Drosophila melanogaster: one gene and its partner. The protein of the gene in region 1 interacts with the protein of each later gene in a pairwise test. Each region holds a gene or a part of one and is shown in the gene's direction. Other genes may lie near its edges. The genes, in order: CG7785 and Golgin104.

Evidence for each region.
Region 2: the proteins of CG7785 (region 1) and Golgin104 interact in a two-hybrid assay, tested with the Drosophila melanogaster proteins (one large-scale study listed by BioGRID).

What each region holds. Positions count from the first base shown.
Region 1 is NT_033777.3:18,019,958-18,024,430, forward strand, and holds CG7785 (uncharacterized protein), read left to right. Parts: upstream 1-1,642; 5' UTR 1,643-1,756; coding exon 1,757-1,862; intron 1,863-2,148; coding exon 2,149-2,715; intron 2,716-2,772; coding exon 2,773-2,870; 3' UTR 2,871-3,732; downstream 3,733-4,473. Other genes in the region: DNaseII (deoxyribonuclease II), read left to right, coding at 119-1,115; CG7794 (uncharacterized protein), read left to right, coding at 3,852-4,077, 4,136-4,439.
Region 2 is NT_037436.4:16,348,095-16,353,930, reverse strand, and holds Golgin104 (golgin 104), read left to right. Parts: upstream 1-1,979; 5' UTR 1,980-2,091; coding exon 2,092-2,811; intron 2,812-2,978; coding exon 2,979-3,098; intron 3,099-3,157; coding exon 3,158-3,221; intron 3,222-3,283; coding exon 3,284-3,438; intron 3,439-3,499; coding exon 3,500-3,642; intron 3,643-3,725; coding exon 3,726-3,906; intron 3,907-3,941; exon of another isoform or gene 3,942-4,014; intron 4,015-4,120; coding exon 4,121-5,068; 3' UTR 5,069-5,184; downstream 5,185-5,836. Other genes in the region: Pdh (photoreceptor dehydrogenase), read left to right, coding at 1-251, 316-606; Tcs3 (Threonyl-carbamoyl synthesis 3), read right to left, coding at 718-960, 1,016-1,701, 1,763-1,877; mRpS34 (mitochondrial ribosomal protein S34), read right to left, coding at 5,198-5,764.

The sequences.
Region 1 (4,473 bases):
TTTTTTTTTTTAATATCTTAAAAACAAATTTCCAAAGATTGAGGGGTTTTCTCGATGAGATAAACATGTTTTTAATTTATTTAATAATTTTTTTTCAAATATTCCTTTATAATTTTAGGTGGCACCTTTACAAACTGCCCAAGCACTACCAGCACAACGATTTGGGCAAGGACACCAGTGGCTTGAAGTACCTGTACGTGACCAGCCAGAACTATGACACCTGGCAGATGTCGGGAAAGTTCATTAGTGATCCCCTATCGCTGCCTGCCCAGACCCTTAACCCCTTGAACGACGATCCCAGCCACACTCTGCTGGCCGCCTACAACGATCAACAGCCGAATGGCACGGTTTTCAGCAGCGGTGGTCATGCCAAAGGAGTGGTGGCCAGTGATGGGGAGACGGCTATTTGGATTGTCCACTCGGTGCCCAAATTTCCAACAATTCCGGACTACAGCTATCCCACATCCGGCGAGCAGTACGCACAGAGCATGCTCTGCGTCACACTGAAGGGCGAGGATTTGGAGAAGGTTGGTCAGATTCTGGTGTACAATGAACCGCACTTCTACTATCAACGCAACCCGCTGGCCACTCGCTCCGATGAGCTGTTCCCGAGCCTGGAAAGGGCTCTGCATGGTCAGTGGCGGACGGAATCACCGTTCCAGAAGGACTTGGAGGTGCGCAGCTTGGACGGCAAGAAGTTCCGGCTGTTTGGCAAGAGTGGACGCGCCAATGTGGAGCTGTACGCCGATGTGGTCGCACCCACTCTGGATGTCAGTCTTTTTGTGGAGGCGTGGCGCGACGGTGCCGGCAACTTACCGAATAGCTGCGATAAGTCCGATAAGGTTCTCAATGTGGAATCCATTTCCAATCCGGAGCTATCGGTGGACTTTAAGACCACACAAGATCACTCCAAGTGGGCGGTATCTCGTCCCACAGGCATTTTGATCTACCATTGGCGAGTTGGCGGCGGAGATTGGATTTGTGTGGGCGACATCAACCGGCAAGAAGGTCAGTTGCATCGTGGTGGTGGAACCGTGTGCCACAAGAGCGCCAGGGTATCCAATCTGTACCGCCAACTGGTCACCAACTACGACAAGTGCGCCCAACAGGAATAGAATCTGAACTAACTAAGACTATTTGTAAAGTTGCGTCAACAATTAAATAAACACCATTTTTGCATTACATTTAATGCATAAGAAAATTGAAAGATGTTGAAAAGAGGTATTATTTATACAAAGAACTTATTTGCATTTGTTATAGATAATATATAATAATTTAAATTTTAAATTTAAGGCGCCGTGCAACTTCTTTTCTTTTTCTTTCTGCTCTTTTCCGGACACTCGCTAGCGCCATTTCTTCAACGCACTCTTGTCGTACATTTTAGGTACTAAAAAGCGCATTGAAAACTAGGTGGCGCTCGTACTTAAACTTTTCTTAATTCTATAGCTGTTGCTAAACTATTTGCCAAAAAAAAAAAACATTGAAATATCAACAAACATGTATAAATTATTTACAAATGTGTCAATTGCATTTGGTTGCATCTAATTATTCATTTATAGCGCCACCTATCCGTCACTCTTCTACCCATTATTATCACATATACCAGAAAATGCAAATTCAGTATGACCATCAGCTGGAAAAAGAGCACAGCTGTTTACAAAAACAAAACCAAGCGAAGAAGCGAAAATTATTGGCGATTTTTAAAAATCCAAATTAAAACTAGATTCGGAGTCGGAAAACCTTCATAGATTTGGGAATGTTCTGCTGCCTACGCACCTGTCTCAATGGTGGACACATAAGGAAACCGACGGCAACCAGTCGCCTGCGGGAGCCCGATGTTCACCTGGATGCAGCGCATATGGGTAAAATTACACTAAATTCAGAAGGATTAAGATACACTATCCTTAAAATGGTCAACTGAAGCGATTGCGAGAGAACTAATGTGTTTTTCCAAAAGATATGTAGCTTCGATAATAAGTGATACCCCAATAAAGATATCAACATTCCCAATTTTATCGCACAATTCAGATACGTGATCAGATATTAATATATATGTACATACAATAGAAGTGCTTATATTCTCATTCAACAGGCTTAACCATCTTGTATCTTACTAATAATATGTATATCATATCATCCATTTGGCAGGACCTGATGTAATCCTGCTGTCACACCAACTGCGCGTAACGGGCACTGGCGGCGTCCTGGCCACGGCGCCTTTGGTCCAATCGAAGTCCTACTTCGAGGTGAAGATCCAGCACGGCGGCAGCTGGTCGGTGGGCTTGGCAACGCGTCAAACGGATCTCAGTCGCAAGAGCGGCGGCGGGGATCGAGAGTCCTGGTGCCTGTGCTCCGATAATGCCACACGCCACAATGACCGCGAGGAGTTCCGACCAGTGGTGCAGTCTGCTTGCACCACTCAGCCAGCGAGGACGAGCAATGGTATCCTGAACAATAGCGCTGCCAAAGCGGCCGGACTCATTGCCATCGAGGATTTGCAGCAGGAAGATCTGCTGATGACCACTGGAGTGGCATCATCCGATGTGGATATCGGTGATTCGTTGATAGCATCGCCACAGCGAGATTTTCCCGATGAAGGAGACATTGTGGGCGTCGCCTTTGACCACGTGGAGCTGAATTTCTACTTCAATGGAAAGAATCTGGAGGTTCCATTTCGAAATGTACGAGGAGCAGCACTATTTCCCGTCATTTATGGTGAGTTTTCGTACTCTTAAGAGAAGCTTATCACCATAATTAACCTAATTTTTTTAGTGGGCAATGGCGCCATTCTGGACATTATCTTGGATAATTTTTCACACGGACCACCACCAGGATTCGAACGCATTCTATTGGAACAGTCACTTCTTTAGATAGTCCACACAAAAGCCTTGAACAAATTAGCAGCATGAGAACAAAGCATTAACAAGAATAACTAAAAGACGGTGCATTTTAGGACTTTAGGAACGCATTTCATTCAAGTAATTTTTGTGGCACTTTCTCTGCCAATGCGGACAACTACCTTTAAAAAAAATGAAATACATTATTGTCTAGTAACACTTTATTTATTTAATGTAAAAGTTAAGTTACAAGAATGACATTTTAAATATGCATTCTAGATTAAGTTTTAAAATGCGAACTTTCAGTATAAAACAAATTATTTACACATTTTAGTTTTAGTTTTAGTTATTCCTTTGCCATATTTCTTCTCTAGTCAAAAAGAAAAGTTCCCAAGCTGAATTCTATCTCACAACCAAAACAGCTATTAAATTATTTCAATTTACTTTGTACACATATCTTAATCGATTTTGTTGATTTTCACCACATATTTACTTATAGTCGTAAAATGCACTGTTCTGTTCTCATTTAGACATCAGGTGTATAAACTTTGTAAACTCTCTAGTCCTTGCACTATCCAAACCGAAAGTATTTGTATAATTTTATTAATGTTTTGTAAATTATTTACGTAGCTTGACGTAGCATTTGTATTATACACAGAGATACGCGTATCTGCATACAGATACAGATGAATTTTTTTGTAGGACTAGGTGGCCACAATTCAATTCTGACTTCATCGTACACATTCCAATTTACAACGGCAACGTACTCGAGCACGGAATTACCTAACTAAATATAAGAATATATCTGTATATCTAATAAATTGTATCTACACGTATCCAACGCTTCGAAAACTGATTAATCCGCGCGCGGACAATAAATCAATGTTATGTACTTAATCCGTTGTGTAGCAAGTTTTCCTTGTTTAGATTGTCAATTCGATTTGATTTTAGAACATTTTGGAAAACTACATTCCCAGAGAAAGGAAATTAATGGTTAAAATTAAGATATGACACATGTCCGGAAAGGGGGAGATCATCCAGATCCACATTGGCCAGGCCGGTGTGCAGATAGCCAACGCCTGTTGGGAGCTCTTCTGTCTGGAGCACGGCATTTTGGCCAATGGAAGACTAACCCAGTCGCCCATGGACGACTCGTTCCTCACGTTCTTTGAGTTCACCAGCCATCAGCCGTGTGTGCAACCTCGACTCGTCATGATCGACACGGAGCCCACAGTGATAGGTAAGTTTCCGCCAGAAGCTTGGATTGTGTCATATAAATTTTTTATCTTCCTTTCCAGATGAAATCCGTACCGGCTCCTACCGCAACCTCTTTCATCCGGATACTTTGATCACGGGCAAGGATGACAGTGGCAGTAACTTCGCCAGGGGCTACAATCTGATGGCCAGCGAGCTGTTGGATCGCTCCATGAACGCCATTCGTCGCGTGGCGGATCGTTGCAGAAATCTCAGGGGTTTCCTGGTCTTTCGAGCAATCGGCGGAGGTTCTGGTTCCGGGCTAGGGACTCGCATCATGGAGAGACTGGTCGAAGACTTTGGCAAGAAGATGACTGTTGTGGAGTTCCTCGTTTATCCTTCGCCTTCGTAAGGTATTGGCTTGGGTATGTTTTCTGCTACT
Region 2 (5,836 bases), on another chromosome or scaffold:
GTAACATCGATATTGTGGTCAATGTAGCCGGGATTTTTAACGACAAGGATGTGCAGAGGACTCTGTTGGTAAATCTCGGTGGAATCATCAATTCCACACTGAGTGCATTGCCCTACATGGGCAAGGATAATGGCGGCAAGGGTGGCATTGTGGTTAACATGAGCTCGGTGGTGGGTCTGGATCCAATGTTCATCATTCCCGTTTACGGAGCCACCAAGGCTGGCATCATCAACTTCACCCGGTGCTTGGCGGTAACAAGAATTTCTTACATATCTTTTGAATTAGGTTTTTCATTTAAGTCTCTTTCTTAATTAGAACGAAAAGTACTATCAACGCTCGGGCATCAAGTTTGTGACTGTTTGTCCTGGAGCTACAATGACGGACATGTTCACCAACTTTACGGAGAAGATCATCTTCCCGGAAACGAGTGACGAGACCTATAGGATCCTGGATAGGCTAAACAAGCAGAGTGCCGCTGATGTCTCTCGATGCATTCTGAATGTCCTGGAGAAGGACAAGAACGGAGCTGTCTATGTCATCGAGGGTAAGCGCGTTTACCCTTTGGAAATTAAGCCCCAGTGGACGGGCAAGGAACAGGCCCTTTAAGTGGGTTAATTCGTTCACATCCTAAACACATGCATTTTACAAATATGAAGTTATTATGGACACTAGTTATTTAATAAACAAACGATGCACAGAAATAAGTTCTTGTGGTGATTAGTCATCCCGCCAGCTGACCAGCACTTCGTCCGTTCGAAATCGCTGAGTCACATAAGATTCCTCAAAGGGCATCCTAGTGCCAGAGCGGAACATTTCTGCACCAGCATGGGCAATCATTAGTCCGTTGTCTATGCAGTAACGTTCATCAGTGGCAAAGAGTTTGCCTCCGCGTTCCTCGCACATAATACGCATCATCTCCTGGAGTCGCTCATTGCAACCCACACCTCCAACTATAAGGACCTGAAAAGAAGTCGGTTAACTCATAGATTAATTTCGGAAAACTGTTGCAACCAACCTCATTTGAGCCGCAGTGTGCCATGGCGCGCTCTGTGATCTCCACCAACATGGCGAAGATGGTCTCCTGCAGCGAATAGCAAAGATCGGCTTGGCTGTAATTATTGACCTCTTCTTCCTGTGGCTTTTTTCTCTTATTTTGCCTCTTGCCCGGCTCTGCCAGGTCCTCGATGTAGGATAAAATCCCCGAGAAGCTGACATCCATGCCCTTAACCACATAGGGCAGTTTAATATAACGATTGCTCGACTTGGCCAGCTGCTCGATGTTGTAGCCCGGACTAGGATCGTTGGACAGCTTAATGATGCGGGCGAATCGATCCAGGCAATTGCCCACTGCAATGTCTATAGTTTCGCCAAAGATGCGATATCGCTTATTGGAGTAGGCAATAACCTGTGTGTTTCCACCGCTCACATAGAGAACTGTAGGATTCTGGGCACCGGTGATCAGGCGACCCATCTCGATGTGTCCAATGCAGTGATTTACGCCCAGCAGCGGGATATTCCACAAGAGCGACAAAGTGCGAGCCACAATGGCGCCAACCAGCAAAGGAGGAGCCATTCCTGGGCCTTTTGTGTAACAAATAACATCTAGATCAGAGGATTTCAATTGGGCTTCCTTTAGACTGGATTCCACCAAGCCCAGGATGGCTTCCCTGTGATGTTTGGCCGTTTCCTTGGGCAGGAAACCTGTTGAATGATTGGTTATGATTAAATCTGTACTAGCCGGCGGGTTAGAATGTGGCAATACCTTCTCCTGGTGGGGTAATGTACGTTCTACGTACGTTCGCCAGTACTTTACCATCTCGAATTATGCCAATGCCAATTTTATTGGCACTGCCTTCAATACCCAAAGCGCAAACCATGTTTAAAATTCTAACAAATTAAGCAAATTGCAATGTAAACAAACATTAGTGTTACCCTTCGCGCCGAGTGGCAGCAATGGTCATACTGCTCAAGGAGGGCTGCCAACTTTTCCAAACTAACAGCTGGTTGCAAATATCAAACTTTTGTTGTATAGCAAAAGTACGCGAAATTCATTGTAAAATTTAAATAGATGATCAAATAACCGATCCGATAATGGAATCAGCGCAGGCAACACCGCCGGCTGAGATGGAAAATCCGGCCAGCGTGGAAAATGGTGATTCTGGCCGGGATTCTAACCACATAGAGGGGAAAGCAATTGGAGACGTGGATATGAAAGCGGATTCCATTGAACAGCAGCTGGAAGAAAGCGATGTGAAAACTGAGTCTAATGGAGATCAGCTTACAGACCAGGATGAGGGAAAAATAGAGCAGGATCTCAAGGCAGCCGTACTGGAGCAGGTGCCAATCGAAGAGGAAGGACTAAGTCTGCGATTCAAGGATCTGCAGGCCCAGGAAAAGGTGAAGGAACTGCAGCAAACCCCTTCGCAACCCCCACAGAACGACATCCTATCCCATGTCCACTGCTTGGCCCAGCTTGAGGAGCAGCGGCGCAACTACGAACAGCAGTTGGAACAACTTCGTACGTCCAATGTCCAGAAGGATAATATGATCACGCTCATTCAGCGGGAGAACGCCATTCTGGGCAAGGAGAAGCAGGCCTGCCGCAAGGAAATGGAAATGGCCAACAAGGAGAAGGAAGCCACCGTCATTAAGTTCGCCATGAAGGAGAAGCTACTTATCGACGCCAAGAAGGAGAAGGAGGCGGTGGAGAAGCAGCTGGCCGAGGCCAAAAAGGAAGTAAAGAATGTGTCCACCAGATTCCTGGCTGTGAGCGAAGAAAAGTCCCGCATGACGTACATCATCGATGAAAAGGTGGGTGGGAATACTTTGCTGCTTCTATAATTCAACGAAAGATTGACTATCAAATAATTGCTTAATTGGCAATAAAACTAATTCTTCTATGAGTTATACAAGCTCCAATTCCGAATTTTGTGCAGATAACAAATCTCTTATCATAACATTTATCTTTTCCTTATCAGTGCAATGAAGTCAGAAAATATCAGAGGGAGTGCGAAAAGTACAAAACAGAAATGGGTCACTTGGAATCCAAGCTCAAGTATCACATAAACAAACTGAACATCGAAACAGAAGCCAAAGCGGTACGCAATGATTACCTAAGCTTATATTTGATCTTCACTGAACTTGGTTCCCATTTTAGGTTGTAGAACGCAAACTGGAAGAGGAAAAGAATGCGCCCAATAAACTGGAGGAAAAGGCAAATGGTTCGATTATTTTTTCAATGATATATGTTTAACTGGTCTTACCATTCGCTTTTTATACACAGAGAAACTTAAAATGGAATTTGAAGCCAACACAATACTCTTGAAACACGAGATTACCAGCAAGACTGAGGCTCTGGATAAGCTCACCAAAGAGCAGCAAAAACTAAGCGCAGCCAACAAAGAACTGCAGAACCAGCTTCAGGAGATCACCACGGAGGTAAATCAAGTTTTGGAATATATCTTATCTTTTTTAACTATTTTAAAATTTTCTTGTGCAGCATAATCAGCTGACAGAGGAGTATAATCGTTTGCGAGAGCTGCACAATTCCGTAGAAGGTTCATACAGTGATGAGCTGCTTAACTCCGCAAAGCTCAGGGGGCAACTGGAGGAACTGCAGCTTCTGCGTACTCAGAACACAATGTAAGTTTAAGGAAATGTATACATTAGAGGCAGAATATATCCATACAATCCCATTTATGTTTAAATGATAATTTTCTTTGTAGAAACGAAGAAAAACTGATGGACCAACAGAAACGAGTCCAGAAACTGGAGGCTTTGGTCCAAGACAACGAAACGGACCTGGAGCAACTGAAAGTCAAAAGGCAGGAGCTACTCACAATTAACAAGGAGATGAGTGAGCTAATCGTGCAGCTGCAGAATGATATTTGCCTGGCCAAAGCAAAGGTGAGTACAAGTAAAAATAAACCAAAAAATGTACATGCCCCGGGTGAGGCTCGAACTCACGACCTTAAGATTATGAGACTTACGCGCTGCCAACTGCGCCACCGAGGCTTTGAATGGCTAGCAATTCTAAGCAGTTGAGATAAATGCCGGTATCAGATGCATCCTAAACCATACCATGTTCAAGGATCTGATGTTATTTCCTTTATTTTGGCAGGCGCAGGGACTTGATGCTGAGAACAAGTTACTGAAGCAGGAAAAGCTCACCTACGACACCAAGTATAATCAACTGGAGCAGCAACTAAGTTTGGAGGCATCGGAGAAAAACGAGGAGCGACTGTTGCTGGCCAAGCATTTGTCCGAAAAGACGAAGATGTACGAACTGACCAAGCAGAAGCTGGAGGATGTTCAGGGTGACTTTGAGGCTACCCAGCACAAGCATGCCACCGTGCTGAAAGAGCTCCATCGCGAGCTGAACAAGTACAAAAGGGGAATTACGGAACCGAAGACACCAATCAGCTACTGCAGCAACTGTCAGCAGGCGATCAATGGGTATCCAACGGAGAATCCTCAACAACGGAGTCATAGTCGCTCCAGTAGCCACGGCAGCATGCACAGCGGCAGTCGACGGGCCAGCGAGTCTTCCGAATCGGAAACGGTGGCCAGTAGTGCCACCACCGTGCAACAGCCGCCACCGCAGCAAGATCTCCAGGCGGTACCGTCCAAAAAAGTCCTCGTAGAGCGAATTCTGCGACTGCAGCAGGCCACTGCCCGCCAAACCGAACGGATCGAGTTCCTGGAGAACCACACGGCCGCTCTGGTGGCCGAGGTGCAGAAGAAATCCAAGGTGGTGCAGCACTACATGCTCAGGGATCAGACTGCCGGCGCATTAACCACATCGCGGAGCGATCAGAACAAAAGCGAGTTGGTCAAGTACGGAAATGGTATCATGGCAGCCATCTATGGTGGTGGATCATCGAAGACGGGAGGCGAGAATAAAGCCATGTCCCTCGAACTTTCTCTAGAGATTAACAAGAAACTGCAAGCTGTGCTCGAGGATACGCTCTTGAAGAATATTACGCTGAAAGAGAACCTCGATGTGTTGGGACTCGAAGTGGATAATCTCACGAGGAAATTGCGCTCCCTGGAGGGCAGTTGCAAGTAAATGCCAGTCTTCTTATTCCATAGTATTCCATTCCAGAGTCTAACCCGCGTGTAGATAGTGTACAAATCAAATGTTCGTATGTTTAAGTGTATAATATATGTATTTAATATTTCAACAACGTCCCCAGGCTTATAATAATCCTTCGTAAAGCTTGGCGCTCACGGGTTTCGGCTGGCCCACACCAAGGGCAAAGTTAACAGTTGGCTTTTCTCCATCCTTGGCTAATCTGGCCATTTTGTTGTCGGTCAGTTTGTAGTGGACCTTCATCTGGGGATTGGGGTTGCCCGTTTCCTCCGATACCAGTTCGCGGAGCAGAGGCGGAAGTTCAATCTTGGTGGGCAGTATCACTGGTTCAACCTTCTTCTTGTTGTTCAGATACTTTGCTTCCTGATCCTGCGGCACCAGTTCGTAGTCCGCCTTATAGCTGGTGCTGTAGATTTCCACAGGCTTTGGCTGCGTTACGCCGCGCCACGTTTTCTCCACAGTGACCCGCACCTTGCGGATCTCGCCGGGCTGCTCGTCCACGGACTGCACCTTCAGAATCCGCATGTAGCAGGGCTCCGGATATCGCTGGAACATGTTACGTATTAGCAGACGGCCCACACCCCAGTTGGGCAGGTTTGAGACCAGCTCCCACAGCGTGTTGCCGCGAAAGTCTGTGGTGCGACCGATGTACTTGATCACTTTTTGGGCCATTTTACTGGGTTATTTCACTATTTTAATTGAATTTTTGTTGCAAGTTATAAAAACAGTGAGTTTGCCACTCAC